Linked DNA regions of Arabidopsis thaliana. The protein of the gene in region 1 purifies or fractionates together with the protein of each later gene. This does not show direct contact. Each region holds a gene or a part of one and is shown on either strand. Other genes may lie near its edges.

What was found.
Region 2: the proteins of AT1G27100 (region 1) and SUMO3 purify together in Arabidopsis thaliana (affinity purification with western blotting, with the first as the bait; one study listed by BioGRID). This does not show direct contact.

What each region holds. Positions count from the first base shown.
Region 1 is NC_003070.9:9,403,618-9,414,998, reverse strand, and holds AT1G27100 (Actin cross-linking protein), read left to right. Parts: upstream 1-3,630; 5' UTR 3,631-3,924; coding exon 3,925-4,548; intron 4,549-6,404; coding exon 6,405-7,055; intron 7,056-7,157; coding exon 7,158-7,442; 3' UTR 7,443-7,914; downstream 7,915-11,381. Other genes in the region: AT1G27110 (Tetratricopeptide repeat (TPR)-like superfamily protein), read left to right, coding at 1-75, 196-339, 429-523, 619-748, 835-942, 1,031-1,137, 1,232-1,283, 1,378-1,467 and 3 more; AT1G27090 (glycine-rich protein), read left to right, coding at 8,901-9,570, 9,657-9,817, 10,444-10,518, 10,602-10,958; NRT1.6 (nitrate transporter 1.6), read right to left, coding at 11,210-11,381.
Region 2 is NC_003076.8:22,383,543-22,391,615, reverse strand, and holds SUMO3 (small ubiquitin-like modifier 3), read left to right. Parts: upstream 1-5,410; 5' UTR 5,411-5,544; coding exon 5,545-5,619; intron 5,620-5,796; coding exon 5,797-5,946; coding exon of another isoform or gene 5,947-6,037; coding exon 6,038-6,148; 3' UTR 6,149-6,359; downstream 6,360-8,073. Other genes in the region: AT5G55180 (O-Glycosyl hydrolases family 17 protein), read right to left, coding at 1,055-1,100, 1,347-2,631, 2,716-2,782; SUMO2 (small ubiquitin-like modifier 2), read left to right, coding at 6,844-6,915, 7,426-7,464, 7,538-7,687, 7,780-7,869. UniProt on the Arabidopsis thaliana protein: Ubiquitin-like protein which can be covalently attached to target lysines as a monomer. Does not seem to be involved in protein degradation and may function as an antagonist of ubiquitin in the degradation process.

The DNA.
Region 1 (11,381 bases):
CTATCTTGGAAGAGAGTAGAGACTCTGTGTTCCTACATGGGTCGACACGATCTCTCTTTGCCTCTTTTCCGGAAGGTATGTAAGATGTTGAAATCAAATTGATGGATACCTCATGACTTATAAATGAAACATGATCTTTGTTATCACTATCTTTGATTAATTGACTTCCCTCACTGAACAACGTAAACTTGGCAGATTCTACCGCAGAATGAAGGCCAAGTTTATGTTAATGGTATGCTTGCATTCTGTTTAATTGAGCTTGGACATTTGAGAGAAGCTGAGGAAGCTGCTAGGAAAGGCTGTGAGATCAACGAAAACGATTCTTGGGCTCATCACGCCGTGAGTTTCCAACACTTATTGTCCCGGTCTTTTGTTGTTACTTGGTAATCCATATACAAAATGTCATTAATAATGTCTCTTTTTGGCAGTTATGTCATGTTCTTCAAACTGAATGTCGTTTTAAAGAAGCAGTAAAGTTCATGGAAGAACACTCAGATTCATGGGATTCTTGCTCATCCTTAAGGTAATAGCATTTACAAACAAGTAAGAACCATCTTCTGATCATCTCTGGAATCACCTGCTAAAGAAAACTAGATAATTTTTGAACATTTTAATTAGGTTTTCGCATAATTGGTGGCACGTAGCTGTTTGTTACTTGGAAGGAGGGTCTCACATAAGTAAGGTAGAAGAAGTATATGATCATCAGATGTGGAAAGAGCTGGAGAAAGACGATGCTGTTGCTAGAGATGTAATTCCCTTATCATTTTTCTTCCCCTTAAAAACTGAACTTCCATTAGCAATCTGATGTTTTATACTTGTACTATTACACATCAGGTTTATACGGATGCTCTTGGTTTGTTGTTGCGTTTAGACACACGCGGTAAACTAGATGATGGGTTTCAGGACAGACTAGAGAAACTGGCAGACTCTTTGACTGATAAAGTAAGTGATGCACTTGTTTGCCCTTGCGTTCATATACATTTATTTTGCTCTTCTTTTAATAACGATTTGTGCAACTTCGAATGTTCAGGCAATGTGGTATCAAGACTGGCTTTTTGATATTACGACAATTTGGGCATTGAGTAAAGTTGAAAAAACTTCACTAGCACATGAATTGCTCGAGGGCCTCAAGTCCCGGTCAGTACTACCGCTTTCTCATTTGTGACATTTTTTCCAAATGGAGAGTTTTGTCTCTTGACTTATCATCTGGCTAATATTATTACTCTAACAGAACATCCGCTATGAACCCGAAGAAACAAAAGCTGATGCAGAAAGCGATTCTGGTCTGTTCTTGCTGATCCTGATTTACAATTATGGAGACTTTTTTGAGTTCTATGTCATATCATAAGAACCGTCTTTTTCTTTCTTTCAAATCAGCTTGCTGAAGCTGTTTATGAATACGGGAAAGGAAACTACGAGATAGCTTTAGAACTGCTTGGATTAGACTTTGACGCTGCTAACTATAAGGTAATGCGATGTTCTTATAAGATATATGTCAAATCAAAACTTATTGAAGAATACACAGCAAATGCTATTGTCTCTTTTGGTGACGATATAGGTGATTGGAGGATCGGGTTTACAGATGGATGTTTTTAATGAAATCTGGTACAAGTTGCTGTTACTCAACGGCAAATCTTCAACTGGTACACTCCTCAAAAACACTATTATATCCATATACTTCGGCTATATCTTCGTTTTCTCAGCTACTAACTCTGCGTTTACAACACCCGAACCTGCAGCTATTGAAGTACTAGAGAAGGTGACCAAACAGAGAGATGGTGCTCCTTTCTTGTGGCGTTTGCTGGTAAGTCATTTATATGACCAGACAAGACAAGTTGATTCATATACGTCTACAGTTTATGAAACGTTGACTTTCTTTTGGCAGGAAGAGAGTTACTCAATGGAAGGCAAGGAAAAAGCTGGTATAAGTGCAGGTAAGAAAGCAAAAGCATTGGAATCTTCATATTTCAAGTCTGCTTGATCGCCAAAACGGCATTTGTCTTGTTGTTTTATAATAAGTCAATGGTTATGGTCAATGCATAAGAATAATAATAATTTTGTTAATATAATTGAAATTTACATTCTATTGACTTTGTATTAGTATTTTATAAAGATGTTTATGAGAAAAAAACTACTAGAAGACCATTAAAATGGATCTTGAAAGCTGTATGTTACAGTTAGATATGTTGTTCAATTGCGACATGGAAACATGTCTAAGGATTAGGGGACGCCCATTTCTGCATTTTTTATATGATTTTTAACATGCAACTTTTTTTTATCTTAATAAAGATATTTTATATTTTAATAATAAAATGACTTAAATCTTAGTCCTATACACGAGATTATTTCAATAACATTCAAAGAAAAATTGAATACCACATTATTGATCTCCAAAATGTCAAGTGACTGTATCGCAAATTCTATATAAATTTTTTCAAAAAGGCTGATAAAATTAATTATTTTTTTCGAACATATATCTTATAATTTACACCAAGCTTCCAACATTAATTTCGTAATTTAATATCTAAAAACTTGTAACTTTTTTTTTTTTAATACTAAGAGGTTCTGAACCGAAACCCGTAAGCTCTCCAGACCCGAAACCACATCCACATCATGTAAATTACATGCATCAGTGTATCACTTAAACAAGAAGTCGTGAAACTTCCATGAATTTATAAGGTTGATCTTATAGTGATTTTCTCATACCATATAAAATACACCAATGACCAGACGTCTAATATGTTTCTGAAATTCACTATAAACAAATTAGTGTTAAGACTTGTAGTTACATGCGTCACCTAAAAACATTGAAATTTCATGAGTTCTCCGGAAAACAAACCAATATATTTATTTGGTGTGGAAGGTACAAATTAAGACCGAGTCTCTCAAAGCCCTACGTCGGCCACATAAGCCAACCAATGGATATAAAAAAATTAAAAACTCAACTATGACATGTTGCCAAAAAATCTGATATCAATACTTTTCGGCTTATCCAGAAAGATAGGAGTCACACGTATATAACAAGGCAATGTGTTGTGTGTATCTAGATCTATTTATATGCAACTGTTTAGAAAATGTACTAATCCTAAATTATTCTACACAAATATTCACAAGTCTACTTCATGACTTTCTTGGTTCTATCTACGGAAAAGAGACAATTCTACACAATAAGCCCACGCGCTCTACATTACCTCTTCATAAATACATTCTTTTCACAACATTTAATATGAAGTTTTATTGTAGTATTCTGATTTCTTCTATGATTATATAATTATTCCATTCAATTATGGAGCTACATATAACATAATTTAACTAGCTGAACTGATCTTTCATCAATATTACATGATCGTCATGGTTTTCATGAATCTATGAGTTTACATTTCCCTCATTAATTTAAATTCTCAAATTTACATTGATAAGATTTGAATTATGGTGCGGATTTATCGACGATAAGGTCCATAGACTCATTACTAGAGGGATCAAAAGACACTTATCAGTTATCACGCACACAGGACTGTAATCACATCCATAAAACCTTATACTATAACCGGATACCGGTTTAAACAAAGAACCAACATTGAACCACAACCTAAGACATTTTCTATCAAAGTCTTCACATCACGTTCTTTACGCGCGTGAGGTAAAATGTTCAACAAGTTACGTAGGTGGAGGAGAACCTTCGTAATACTTTTTCATTAGTCTTTTCTTCATTTGATTTTGCGAAATTTCTAAATAATTGCGAGCTGCATAATCCCTCCGACTATTAACTTACAAAGTACCCTTTTAGCCAGGCTTTTTCTGTCTTATTTTTTTGTCATTAAACTATATAACCAAACACAAACATCATCTTTCTCCTTCATTTCACAAACTTAAAATTCTCTGTTTTTGTTTCTTCTTCTTTCAAAATCTCAAGCAAAAGAAAAAATGGAGCTATTCACAAAAGGTAACAACGTTAAGTTACGTAGCCACCTAGATAAGTTTTTAGTCGCCGACGATGACCAAGAAACCATCCGTCAAAGCCGTAAAGGAGATGCACGGCGTGCCGTTTGGACGGTGGAGCCCGTCGTCGATAAACCTAATCTGATAAGGTTAAAGAGCAGCCACGGCACGTACTTAACGGCGAGCAACAAACCGTTATTGTTAGGTATGACCGGTGAGAAAGTGACTCAAACGGCGTCGTTTAACAAGCTGATGGATTGGCAAACGCAGTGGGAACCGGAGCGAGATGGGTTTCAGGTGAAGCTAAAATCTTGGTGCGGTAAGTGGATGAGGGCTAACGGTGGAACGCCGCCGTGGAGAAACTCTGTTACTCACGATGAGCCTCATACGTCAAAGACAAAGAACTGGTTGATTTGGGATGTTATAACTATTGATGGTTCTGATCTTGAAAACATGTCTGATGGTGATGAAAGCTCTGTTTCTTCTCCGGTCGGGTCTGAATTCGGATCAGAACCCGGGTCACCTGTTTCTGCCAGGTCTACGAAGAGTAGTATTAGCCGGTTTGCTTCTCTTGGTTTATCTACGTCTCCGAGATGGTCCTCAAAACCGGTAAGTTTGACTAAGTCTTTTATTCAGTGTGCATTGATTAGTTTTTCTTAATTTCTGTGTTTAAATTAAGGCTAATATAGAAATTTATTATTGTGAGTTGAACTTAGACAATTCTGTATATAAGAAATTAGTTGGCATGCATGAACATATGGAAAAAAAGATGAGGATTACCCGTATTAGTATCTACAATTTAAAGAAAATTACATGATCTGTATCATTTCTTTTCTCCACTAACATAGATAATGCTCCACAAGCACACACATCGTTTTACCAACCTAATACCACCAAAATGTATAGGATTTTTTAATTGTATAGTTTTGATTAGTTTATCTATTATAATAGACTATAGTTGAAAATATGACACTTAACAATCCAACTTAAGTTTACTTCAATGATTGAAGGATAGTTTTGAAATGCTTGTAGTAGAACCTCTAAAATGTAACTAAGTGACTGTATATTTCTTACAAAAGCTATACCTAAGGATGATTAAAGAAGAAAAATACGATTATTATTCCTTAACAATAAAAACTTGTACCTAATGGCTTAAGATAAACAAATCTAGTGCCAGTTAACATAAGACAAGTGTAACAAAAAGTAAGGTAAAAAAGTTGGTAGTTATGATTTAGTGATGGAGCATATGGTCCAGGGATGCAATTAGGAGAGTCCCACACTCATGAATTTCCTCTCTTGGTCTTTCTTGCGGGCAAGGGTTTATAGATTTATTTTCTAAATATTCGCTTAAATCCTATCTTTTCGATCCATTCTTTTATGGCATAGGGACACTATTATTTTTGGGGAAAAGGGCATATACTTTTATCTTTTTAATTATTTATTTATATTTTTCAATATTTTCCATTTAATATTGATTTGCTTATACCACATAATTGCTTATAATCTAACTGAAAATCACATATTATTCATCAAGAATTACGTCCATTAGTTCCGATTTTGATCTTATCATAGAACTAAATACGTACTGAAAAATTAAAAGATAATGGAAAAAGTATAGAGTAACAATGTAAAATGATACTTTATTGGGAAATTTGGTTACCTATCTCTATCGTAATTTATTCTCTTCATATAGATTATTATATACATAGCAAATAAAAGTTTACCAAATGTATGTACCATACCTTTTATTATTATTTCAAATGAATCTTCAATAGTCAACATTGACTCCTAGTATTATGTTTAAATCTTCTATGAATTGAAGAATCTGAAATAAACATCATGAATGATTGGAAGATATGTAAGAGAAAATTGTTCCAACTGATAAAAGTTTTCACAAAGTCATTGTAGTAATTAATAGATATATAGAAAAATAAAACACAATTTAAGGCCAATTTTTTTCATCTTCTCCTATAAGATTTAACACCAAATTTTTTAAAGAAAAATTCAAAGCATTGATTTTTTTATATATAATCAAATACAAACTTTAGTTACAATCTAAATCCTGCTTTGTTTCTTGAAAATCTGTTTAAATTAACAATAGTTGGTGTCTTGGAATCCTCGTAATTAACTTTAATCTCAAGATTTACAAACATTACAAAGTAACAAAATCCAAAACACGTGAAACAACAACGCGTTACAAGCTCTAACAAATACTAATAAGGAAAGAAATCCAAATCATAAATTTCTGCTGACGTGGATATTAGATACGCGCTCTAATCCAGCTAGCAACGACTTTTCCAGATTTCTTACCTTACCTAGTCCGCGTAACCGTAAAAAACTAAAAAACCCAATTTAGACCAGTCCAGTGTCAGATCCACCACACATATAAAATAACCATATCTCTCACTTCTTCTTCTTCTTCTTCTTATCACTATTCGCTCATTTCCCCTTCTCTGTTGTTACAGAAGTCGACGGCGAGTAGCTTCAACCAAAAAGAAACACCAGTATCTGTCTCAGCAATGGAATTTTTCCAGAAAGCAAAAGCTATTCGAATGCGTAACAGTCACAACAAGTATCTAACAGCAGACGACGATGAAGAAACCGTAACTCAAAACCGTAACGGATCTACCAAAAACGCTCGATGGACCGTCGAACCGGTTCGTGATTCTTTCCATGTTATTCGTCTTAAAAGCTGTTACGGTAAGTACTTAACCGCTTCTAACGAGCGGTTCTTGCTCGGGGCTACGGGGAAGAAAGTGATTCAGTTGAAACTGAGTCGGGTTGATTCGTCTGTTGAGTGGGAACCGCTTAGAGAAGGGTCTAAGATTAAGCTTAGGACTAGATCTGGTAACTATTTACGAGGTAATGGTGGTCTTCCTCCTTGGAGAAACTCGGTCACACACGACGTTCCTCATTTGTCTGCTACTCAGGATTCGATTTCTTGGGATGTTGATGTTGTTGAGATCTTGACTGATTCCGAATTCAAGACGGAGTCTGCGAAAGCGCCGCCACCGAAGACGACGTCTCCACCGCCGCATCGGAGACCGACGAGTTCGCCGTTGTCGGCTGAGTCTCCAAGGACTTCGTCTTCTCTTTCAGACAGATCCGATTCAGATGTGAGTACTTTTCCTAAATTCCTAAAACACCTTTGGTTTTGTTTAAAATTACAGTTGTACCGTTTTCCGGTTATTGAAAATTTTGATTTTGATTTTGACCAGTCGGTTGAGTCTCCGCCTAAATCTGATGGACGAACCATATATTACCATGTCGCTGACGAGGAAGGACACGTGGAAGATGAAACAACCGTTGGATATGCTTTCACGTTTAAAGGAAATAGCGTGGCGGAGCTGACTCAGACATTGCGAGAAGAAACGTGCATGGAAGACGCTGTGGTGTGTACTCGTAGTCCTTTAAACGGCAAGCTGTTTCCTCTTCGTTTGCAACTTCCTCCTAACAACGGAACATTGCATGTCATTTTACTACCCTCCAGCGCGAGCCTCTAGAATCGACCCGAGACAATTAGAAATGAGTGATTGTGTGATTGTTTGGTGAAGCATATGATATGAACCGTATAAGAAGATAGTAAGAGTTGGTAGTTGGTACAAGACTCGTTGTTACATAGATTGAAAAAAGGCGTCGGCACATGAACCTTGCTTAATCTATAGACTATTTGTAAGAGTTTTGATAATAGGAAGGACTTATAAATTATTTTTTGGGGGAATATAATACAAGTTTGTTTTTGTAAATAAGCGATTTCTTTGTAAACGAACATTTGGATTTTGGGGGTTTATTTGTGTGAGCATGGATTCATAAACAAAAATCATTAATTTCTTATAAGTTATTCACTAGTAAATGGAGATTATGACTCGAATGTAGCCAAATTTAGTTTGGATGACGTGAACAACCAAATCAGAATAATCACCTATCTTAATATAGTGATTTAGTGACCAGTAGACGATAGTTGTGACAAGAAATCTTATAAATACTTTGTTGTCACAATTCACGAATGTTAAAGGGGTTAGAAGTTGAAACTATCTCCAAGTTAAAGTATCCATTAAGCTATCGTTAAACATAAAATACAAATCATGAAGCATACGAAGACCTTAATATCAAGTCATATACAGAATGAATATACAAAAAGAGGAATAATTCCTAATGTATACGTACGATACTACGTTGACGAAAAAAAAAAAAAAAACGTACGATACTACGATTGGAGTTTTCTAATTACTTACAGAATATTTAAACAACATTATGTATCTAGAAGGATCTAGAATAAAATTGAATCTAAAGTACACCAAAAAAGTGGAATATTTCCCAATATCCTAACAACTTTGATAATATCTTAATTTCAAACTGTTTTTATTATGTAACAATACCGTATTTCATTTCTTAACTTAAAACTCATTATTTACATGATATTTCAAAAATTACCTATGTACTTGTCATTATATACATGGTATTTCAAAAATTACCTATTTACATATTACCCTTTTAAATGGTATATTTACTAATAAAATTAAGTATTGCATTTAGGAAAAGAGAGTGCCTCTTGATACAATTTTAAAATAATACAAATACCCTATGTCATTCCAAGTAACTAATAATAAATTGACAAATAATTTTTTTATACAAGAAACGTAATCCACAAAAATAATTTGAAAAAATCTACACAAAATAGTTGAAAATAGAACACTCCTATTTATTTATTTTTTTCCTTTTGTTTTGAGACGGATAATTTCACTTGCATTACTGGAATTTTTCATCAATTATTATATATTTAGCTCAAAACTATCACTACCCAAAAACCAGACGCTTCAACTTATCCCCATTTCTCTGAAAACCCTAACAAATCCTCCTCTTGTTCCGCCACTGCCGCCGCCGCTACTCAACGGTGGTGAATTTTCTATACGGTCAGTTCGATCCTCTTTTTATCGACAATCCTACACAAATCCATAATCATGGCCGCCACTGCTTCCTCCGAAGCTTCTGAAGGACCAGTGATGGGTCTCATCAACAAGCGTCTCCGTGCTCTCCGTAAGAAATACAACCGAATCACTCAAATGGAAGAATCGATTTCTCAAGGCAAAACCCTAAACAAGGAGCAAGAAGAAGTCCTCCGCTCTAAACCTGCCGTCGTCATCCTAATCGACGAGCTTGAAAAGATCCGTGCTCCTCTCTCCGCCGCTGTGACAGAGGAAATCAGCCTCGCTACTCAGCTTAACCGTGCTTCATCCGATCAAACCACCGCATCTGAGCAAAAGGAAGTCACTGATATCCCGCAGGAAGTTAGCGGCGGCGATGATGGCGCTAAGTTGGAGGATCTGGTGAATTTCCTCTACTTTGGTTCACTCTTCGACGTCAAGTCACAGAACGAGTTCACTTCGATAATGTTGACCAGGACTCATGAGAGAAGTTGCTGCTTGTCTTACGATTACGTTACCGATGATGCCACTGATCTCCTCGGCGATCGGGATTTGGATTCTATTTCTCAGCTTTGGAGCCTGATGGTTTCTCGTCCGGTGGATTCAAGCTTATCTCACAAGAACGCTTTGGAGCGTTGTGTTGAGCACGCTAAGCTATGGTTAGCTAATTCCGAGCAGCCAATCGAATCAAACTGCAATACTTCATGTAAAATAAAAATTCCTAAATCTGTTTGTCTCTTACATCTCTGTGTTTTAGTTTCTCTGTGTTGATTACTTAGATTTGTGATGCAGATGCTGCATTGAGAGAGAAGTTGAAGAAGATTATGGCGTCTGACTATTTCACCACTACTCCGGAAATGAAAGCTCCGGTTGATGTGGCGGCTGCAGCTGGTAACTATACTTCTTACCAGGTGCCTGTGGACGTGGAGGCTTCAGGGCATTACCAGCAAAAGGTATCCACTTTAGATTAGGTTTTGTTGATTTCCTGAAGTCTCTGACTTTCATCAAATTGGTAGTGAATTTCGCGGACTAGTTGTTCTGATTCATTACATACTATATAGTTCAGGGCTTTGTGGTATGCAAAGCTCTTACTTAATCTGAAGGAGGAAATTAACAATCACATTTCTTTAGTTGTGGTGAGATTGAGCTTAATTTTCAAGGATTCAGAGTTTATTATTGTTTCTCCTATAAAGTAGAAGATGTCTGAAGTTGAATTATGCAGCATTAGAGTGAGATGTGGTATGAGATCATTAGTGAGTTAAGTTGTTTGGATAGGATGGAGAAGTACATTCTTAATTTTTGATATGGCCTGTTGCTTATTTGATTTTTCGACTGTTCTCTTGGTATTTGGAGAACTCTATCCTGGTTAGAATAATCTTTGTGGTGGGTCTACGATATGAGCTGTCAATATATTTTTGTTTATACATGTGATCGATGTTAACAAACTGTGACAATATGTGTCTTCACTGTAGTGAATGTTGACATGTTTCGGTGTGTCTCATTATATGAATTAGAGAACATAAATCCCTCCCATGTGGTCTCTAATGATTTATGTGGGTCTGATATTCCCTGTTTACAGGAAGAAGATGCATCAAATTCCAAAGAAGTAGAATCAGTTGTTAATGATCAATCTCAACAAGATGAGCATCAAAAGGTAATCCAGTGAATTGTAGAGCTCGAATCATCTTTCAATGAGTTACTCAAGGATGAATCTGATGATATTGTTTTGTTGTGAAGGTTGAGTTAGTGACCGAAGGAGAGGTGGTCCATGGACAGCAAGAACAGGGCTATACTCAGGTGGGAGGAGCAGAGAATGCTAAAAGAGACTATGTGCCACGTGGGTCTTACCAGAACCAAAGAGGTCGTCGAGGTGCTCGAAGAGGTGGTGGTGGCTATCAGAATGGGCGAGGAGGACGAGGTGGTGGTGGTGGCTACCAGAATGGGCGGTACGAATCTTATGATCAATCTGGTGGAAACGGTTATCAAAGGAACTACTACAACAACAGAGGAAGGGGACGTGGTGGTGGTGGTGGTGGAGGAAATGGCCATTCATACAACAACTACCAAGACCCCAATGTTGCTGTTGCGTCTTAGCTTTTGTGCCTCTGTCTTTTGGGTGCGTCTCTTTCATTATCTTGCGTTTATGCTATAACGCATATAAGCCTAATCTCGTGTTTGAAACGTTTGACAATGGCTCGGTTATTGCTATGAACTTTTTTTTTTTTTTTTGTGGCCATCAATTTTATCGTCTTCGACATGTCAACTATTGATCTTTTTTCCATGAAAGCGATAGTTAAATAATATTATAAGATATTCAAACAGCAGGAATAATTAGCATACGGATCCTAACTTGGAGATTGATCGTGTCTCTGGTTTGGTTCGATGTCTAGAAGAGACTTCTCCTCATTGAAATCTTCAATTTGCGAACCGGCTTTATACTGGTATCTATGGGCACAGTACCAGAAATACACAAGGTTAACCACACCCAAAACGGCAATCAGATAGTAGAAGTAGTCC
Region 2 (8,073 bases), on another chromosome or scaffold:
GACCACCTTTCCATCAAATCACTCCCGCTGGCTAGAAGAAACTCGTGATATGGAAAGAAGGCATGACCAATTGAAAGCCCACTTAATTGGTTTGGAGGAGAAGTTCAAGTTGGTAGTAGTTGAAGAAAAAGCCATAGACTCATAGTCCATCTAAGAATATGTAAGTCTTGGGATGGTAATCAAGTACTGTATATGGTTTTGTTTTTAAAATTTTGAAACCGTGTTTGTACTATGTTTTGGTTAAATTGCCACCGTGTTTTGCGAGTACACTATCTCAATAATGCAAAGGGAAGGAAGTTCGATTAGCAACCACACGATGCTTACAATCCAAAACCTTAAGCTTTTTAAAATGACATAAAAAAGCAGAACATTCTTGCTATTTAAAACGTCTAAACTGACTCATCTAAGATCTTAGATATTTCTGGAGGAGAATACACATTCAGTAATAGAATAATAACAGACTTCACAACTATAAAAGCATTAAAGCTATTCTTGGTTCTGAAGATTCCATATCAAAAGACTTGATGAGTTTTCATGTAGTATAATGTATTCACAGAGCTTTGTGACAAACTATAACTCAAAACCCATTTTTCGAGTTACAGGCTTCTATATGGGAGTTGGTAGTGTAGTCGTAGCTCAATTGATGGTAGGCGCTAATCAAGTTTGATGAAGTAGGCAGCTCAAGGTTTTGACTCTGGAGTATTGGAATGAAACAATATGGACAATATATACTGTTGAGTTTTGCTTGGATCATGATCAGTTGATCACCAGCAAAACGAATCAATTTGAGATTTTGAAAATAATATTGCAATGTTGTTTATTGGATCAGTTGCAGGATATAATGGTTTATATCAACAAAGTTTTGTCAGTTTTATAAACTCACGAGCAAAGAAGTTAAGGCTTAAGGGGGAAAGAAAATCTGACTATTTATCCGATGAAACCAACCAAATATACAATAATAAAAATAAATATACGCAAATCATATACTCGAATGACAAAAGAACAATGTATCAAAATAAATAACGTAAATAAATCCGCACGATCCTCTTCTTCTCTATATCCATTTCAATGCCCTGTTGGAAACTCGCATTTCCCATACTCTACAAACACATAACCAACAAAAAATAATTAATTTAGTTTACGTTTCCGTCTATACGTCACAATTTAATTATAAATCTGTATACGTAAGTGAAGCCCAAAAAAATAACATTTGTTGTTAAACCATCCCAACTCCCATAATTATTATCTAACCATCTTCCAACTATTAAGAACGTGAAAATAACTATACTGTATATGCAAAATACTTACTAATCAAAATAAAATTTTGGAGAGGAAAGATAGGGTACTTACTAGGAGGTTGCGAGACCACGTACGCTGCACCACCAAAATTACACGTGCCAACTCCACGTGCGTTCTTCTGATAGTAACTGTTGAACGCGTAGGAAGCGTGAGCTTCTAACGATTCAGGATTATAACACGTGGCACCCGGTTGAATCGGACGGCAATCAGCACCTCCTTCGCCACAAGCGTAGTCGAGACCTTCCTGAAGCTTCTCCTTCGTCGTTTTACCATTCGCCACACACCACGTCTGTCCCACGAGCGACGGTTTCACCGGAACAACCTTCTCTTTGTTATCGTTGACCGGCGTTGACTTACCGTTGAGCGAAACGTCATACACTTTGTTCTCGTTTGGGTAAAACAACCCGTAGTTTCTCTCAGAAGTCGGACCCGTTTTCTGATTCTCGTTAAACAGAGCGAACAGATAAACGTTTAGTGGCTCCTTCGGTTTTAACGGCGTTCCGTTTCCCGTCAACACTCTTTTAACTAACCCGCCGTTATACGCCGCCGCGTTAGCCGAACCAGCACCAATCTCGTTCTCGTCTCCGGCAGAAGGCCAGCCTGTCTCTGTCACCACAAGCTTAACGTCGTTAAATCCAACGGCGGACATTGCGGCGAAAACGGCGTCGATCTGAGCGTCTAAGAGACTGTTATACTTCAAACCGTTACCGGAATCAACATTCCCGGCGTTCTCCTTAAACAACGCGTAATCCAACGAGATCTTATCGGCGTTAGCTGCGTAAGCAAAGAAAGGATAAGCATTCACCATAAGATGCGACGACGTTTTGCGGAGGAGATCAAGCATCGGTTTAATAACCGGTTCGATTAACTCCGGTTTAAACGAACCAGCCGACGGTGGATACGAACTCGCCAACGCGCTTAAAGCAATCGGCGACGAGATCTTAATGGATTTGTCGAGATTGAACTTGACGAGAGAGCTTTGAACATTCTTCATAGCTGGAACGAGATACGTCGTCGTGTTCCTCGGATCGACGAACACTTCGTTCCCAACGGCGATTGCTTCGATATCCGTCGCTGGAATGTACTTCTTTATGTTGTCCTGAACCCAAGTGTCGGTGTAGCTCTGATCTGCGGCGGCGGAAGCGAGGTTTTCGTTGGGGAGAGAGACAACGACTTTGATTCCGGAGTTCGCGAGTGCGGTTAGTACAGTTGTCTCGGTGTCGTAAAGCTTGATGCGGTTGATTCCTTGTGTTTTCAGTAGCTCAACTACTTTCTCCGGTGCCGGAAGATTGTCTGCTATACGGCCGTAGTTAACTCCGATCATTCCAGAATCTGATAAGAAGACAAAAACAAACAAAGACATCAGAATCCAAACAAACTAAACTCTGTGGAGAGATGATGAAAATGAGAACTAACCTGCATAAGTGAATGGAATGGCTGAGAAGGAAGAGAGTATGAGTAGAGATAAAACGAAGACCGCCATTGTTGTGTATAGAGAGATAAATAGAGAAAGGTTTCAGTTTTTGTATTCCGGTGAAGGAGAAGCTAAAGATGGTGTTTATATAGAGAGACGAAGAAGAAGGAGAACGAGGGAGGTGGATGTAGTGGGTAGGACCCACGTGAGATATTGGGGATGACTTTGTTTTTTTTAACTGTACGGTTTTGTGATGTAAATATTTCAACTCGATGACGTGTCTAAAGTAAATATTATTTTAATTGTGGATTTGACCGTTTCAGTCGTGTACTGATTGGAGATTGTTGTACCAAATGTTGTCAGAGATTGTGGGGGTACGTGCCAAAATTAGCATTCACTTTTAATTAATTAGGGTCGATTTTACTGCAGCTTTTTTCCTTTTTTGGGGGATTTTATTAACGTTATGTTCTGCATAAAATGAATTGTATAACAAAACGAATTTGTTTAGACATACAATTGCATTTGCAACAACACTTTTAATACGTTCCATAATTATTGGGATTTGGGCACTGAGGCAAATAAAACATGTAGTATCAGCTGGTAATAAATACCTATTAATCACTGGTTGAAAACAGCTGCTAATTATCCGTTAAAGTTAGGATTAATAGGTGAAAAAAACTGGTCGGAGGAGTGATAATTATTAATCGATAATGTGATGCATTGATTGGTCGGAATTAGAATTATTATGTAAATTAATGGTAACTGGGTCTCGTCGAGAAATGAAGAATCTACAATGGGGCCATGTGTCATTCATTGTTCTATACATGTACCAAATTTTGAACGTTGAGCTCTCTGATTTCCAACGTCTCTTTTTCGTACGTCCTAAATATTCCGTCCTTTTTATTATTATTTTGAATGGTTGGAGTTATTATGTTAATAATTGTGTTTAGATATGTTTCGATAAATTTGTAAATCCAAGTATAGATTTATATGAAATATTTGATAGTAACATTGACTGATTCACAAGTTGGTTGTAACTAATATTTTGACTTAGCAAATTGGGCTAATGAACGCGTTTAGATGTGCGGAGGAAAAATGAACATTTTAAGGTTAGCTAAGCTAAGCAAACACCTCAAATTATTTTCCAGTAGTATAATAATGAATTAATCTAAATGGTCCATCTCCGTCCATGGATAAACAAAAAACGATATTTGTAGAGTTTAGTTGTCCTATACAAATAGAACTCTATCGCTAAGCAATTAATGTTTCCTTCTGATGTAAAACCAAGAATTTTGGATGACATTTACGGCTAGTTTTACTAATTACTTGGTGAAAGATGCTTTTTAGATTTATTTGAATTTAATAATTGTGGCCGAATATTAACGGTTATGTACATATAGGCATAGAATGTTAATACACATACGGTAATTACTACTACAGTTTGAAATATAGTTTTATCTTCGGTGATTGAGACCTGAATAATGAAACTAATTAAGAGTAGACATCATAATAACTCCACTATCAAAAGAGAAAATAATAGACATCATCATTTGGTAATATTGTATTTGATGATTATATACATGTTTTTGTTTGTGTATCAACTTGTCCACTAGGTGGTAATCTTATATGTATCAATGTATGCTGGTTTACATATACTTTAGTATAACAATTTAATTTTTGGATTATGAAAGTAACAATAATTTAATAATGTATCTATGGAGGTTGTCGACATCGTACGGTATGTTTCGACAAGGCCCTTAAGTCTTAAGTCGGTACATGAAATTGAAAATGAAACACAATGACAAGTCCATATGAAAATTGAAAACATTATAATATCCAGAGAGGTGTGTCACCTTCAGATTGACTTATTTGTAACTATTATGAGTTTATGACGAATTTCTAAATATAAACGTTAACTAATATATTCGTATAAATATAACATCATCATTATTAGTTTCTTATCAACCAAGAGAAAGAATTCAATGTGGTAGGTCACTTGGATGCTGTCCAACAAATTGAGTTTTAGATAGGAATGTTAGCATTGTCCCTGATCTTTACGTTACGATACAATGCCTATTAGTTTATCAAATTAAAAACTGGAAATATATTATGTCGGGCCGAAATAGAAGTCGTCACGAAACATAGACTAACCATTTACACACTATGACGGTCGACGTACATTATTTTTTAATATTAAATAATAACCATGCATGCATTAGAAGTTTAGAACATCAAGAAATATATAAATTTTATAAAGAGAGCTTGCCCTAAACTTTGTCAAATAATATCATAATTTTGAGTTTCTTTTTAAAATACCACAAAAGTTATGTTTGCTAAGATTTTTAAAAGTTTCTAACTGTTGTATTTTTTTTGAAATTATTAGATTACCGTGGTAATTAGATTTTATTTTTAAATATGATTTATAAATTTTCTAAAAACTATTTGGTCGGTTCACGAAAATGGGTTCCAACTTTATATACTGTGTAGAAGTAATTAAGCCCACATATGAGCATATTTGATCTTAAACCAGCCCAATAGCCCATTACGAATGCTTGATTAAACGGCAGTGTTTTCATGTACGAATTCCACGCTCTCCTAGCCGTCGGATGATAAGCTACAATGATTATGAGCCGTTCGATATATCACCACAAGAATCTGTAGATCAAAAGTGAGTGCGATCAAGAACTGGTTTCAGTCACTTTTTTGACAAGTCTCTCTTTCTCAAAAGTCAACCCCTTATTTTGCAATACTGTATTGTGAATCTCTCTATCAGGCCTTCGTATTTCTCACAGACTGGAGTTTTTGTTTCATAAAATCTGATAAAAGGAAAGATGTCTAACCCTCAAGATGACAAGCCCATCGACCAAGAACAAGAAGCTCATGTCATTCTCAAGGTCAAGAGCCAGGTTTTTTCACTGTGTTCCCTCTTTAATCTCCTTGAAATTTTCTGTCGTTGCTGCTTGGTTGATAATACTATATATACAGTTTCTTGATATGAAAACTTTGATGATACTCTTTTCCAAACTGTGATGATCTAAAGTATAGAGTGATTAAAATCTTTTTTCTTGATTGGTGATACTAAGGATGGAGACGAAGTCTTATTTAAGAACAAAAAAAGCGCTCCACTTAAAAAGCTCATGTATGTTTACTGCGACCGCCGAGGTTTGAAATTAGACGCATTCGCTTTCATTTTTAATGGAGCTCGTATAGGTGGCCTGGAGACTCCAGATGAGGCAAATCACTCTCTTTTTCATTTCCCTTTTACAATTTATATGTTTGTCAAAAGTGTATCATTTACTAAACCAAGATTCTCCAATTTTAAAGCTTGATATGGAAGATGGAGATGTGATAGATGCGTGCCGGGCGATGAGTGGTGGTCTACGAGCAAATCAGCGTCAGTGGTCTTATATGCTTTTCGATCATAATGGGCTTTAATTAGGAATAATTTGGCTGGCTTTGTGATATTTGACTACTTTCTTCAAGCAAAATTACTTGAAGTTTAAATCATGGTCGGTTATCGTGTGTGTAAATGACTCATGAGTGATTGGATCTTATGAATTATGATATTAATGGTATCTGGTTACGGATTTTTAGAATCTTTGTACTTTGTTAATTTTACAACCGTGAATAAACAACTCATCAAAACCTCTAAAACTCAAGTTGGCTAATTGTAAAAGGTCACACAACAAAACCATATTAAACAATTGAAATCTTTACTGGTTTGATCAAAATCAAACGGTTCACTTTGAACATCTTCACTTTTCCCAACTCAAACAAATCTACTCGAAAGCTGAGATTTTCACATTTTAAAATTCTTGGGTAGACACAGAAGTAACCAGCCCATTTGAGCCCATTAAGAATGCTAAAACGACATCATTTTAAGTTAGAGATTATACTCACTCACAGCCGTCGAATGATATAGATCAATGATTATGAACCGTTAGATAAACAAGAATCCGATGCGACCAAAGATAGTGGTTTCAGTCTTTTTTATTCTCTGCCGAGTCTCTCTCTCTCCCTCAAACCCTCAAGTTCTGCAATCCCGCGAATCTCTCTTAGGGCTTCGCTTATATCGCAGATCGAAGTTCTTGTTTCCAATCGCCGACCGTATAATCTGATAATAAAGTAAGATGTCTGCTACTCCGGAAGAAGACAAGAAGCCTGACCAAGGAGCTCACATCAATCTCAAAGTCAAGGGACAGGTTTTCTATTTCTCACTCACTCTCTCGACTTCTATTTCTTGCATTGTGTAACGATTCGTTGTCTGGTTAAAGTTTTGAGTGTGATTAGGATCTTTATAGCTTCTGATTGCTTCAATTCTAGGGTTTTGAGTTTGTCTGCGTTATTCCCAATTTCTATTCTGGTTAGCTTGTCTATGAGGTAGTGATTATTGTGTAAGCGTGACTTTTAATTGGCTTAAATTTGAAGCAAACAAAAGTTATCTGAGAATTGTGAATTATGTTTTGACTCATAATTGTAGCAAACAAAACATTACTACTCTTGTATGTGTGAGGGTGTGTATTGGTGGAGACAGTGATTATCTTCGAAGAAATTGTTGTAATGTTGTGAGTTGTGACTAAGCTAACAATTTATAACCTTGAACTCTCACTATAGCCTATTGTAGTTATGCTTTTGGAGTATGGAGCATTTGTTTCATGAAAGCTTTTCGTTGCTATGATTTGTTTTGCTTATGTTTCTGTACCCATTGGTAGGCATTTTTCGTTGTTGGTACTTGGTTGGTTATAGATACAGTTTTTGGTATTGAGAAAATCGTATATAATACTCTTCTTGAAGTAACAATCATTGGTAATTTTTCTTGTGTAGGATGGTAATGAAGTCTTCTTTAGGATCAAGAGAAGCACTCAGCTCAAAAAACTGATGAATGCTTACTGTGACCGTCAGTCTGTGGATTTCAACTCAATTGCTTTCTTGTTTGATGGTCGTCGTCTTCGTGCCGAGCAGACTCCAGATGAGGTAACATCACTCTCTGTACCCCATTCTCTTTTACTGTTTTCCGTTTTTCAAAGTTGTATGATTTCCTTAACCGAGAATCTTCAATTTTACAGCTTGAAATGGAAGATGGAGATGAGATCGATGCAATGCTTCATCAGACTGGTGGTGGTGCTAAAAATGGCCTGAAGCTCTTCTGCTTTTAGTGGCGGTTATTTTAATGGTTTTCCATAAGATTGTGTGATATTAATGGATTTAGTGAATCGGCTTTAGATTAAATTTGGCAGGCTTTGTTTTACTTTGACCAGTTTCTACTTACTGGTGAAAGTCTATGTGAATCATGAAACTTATTGGATCTTAAAATATTAATGGGCTTGTTTATGGATTTTGGAATCTTTCGATTGGCTTTA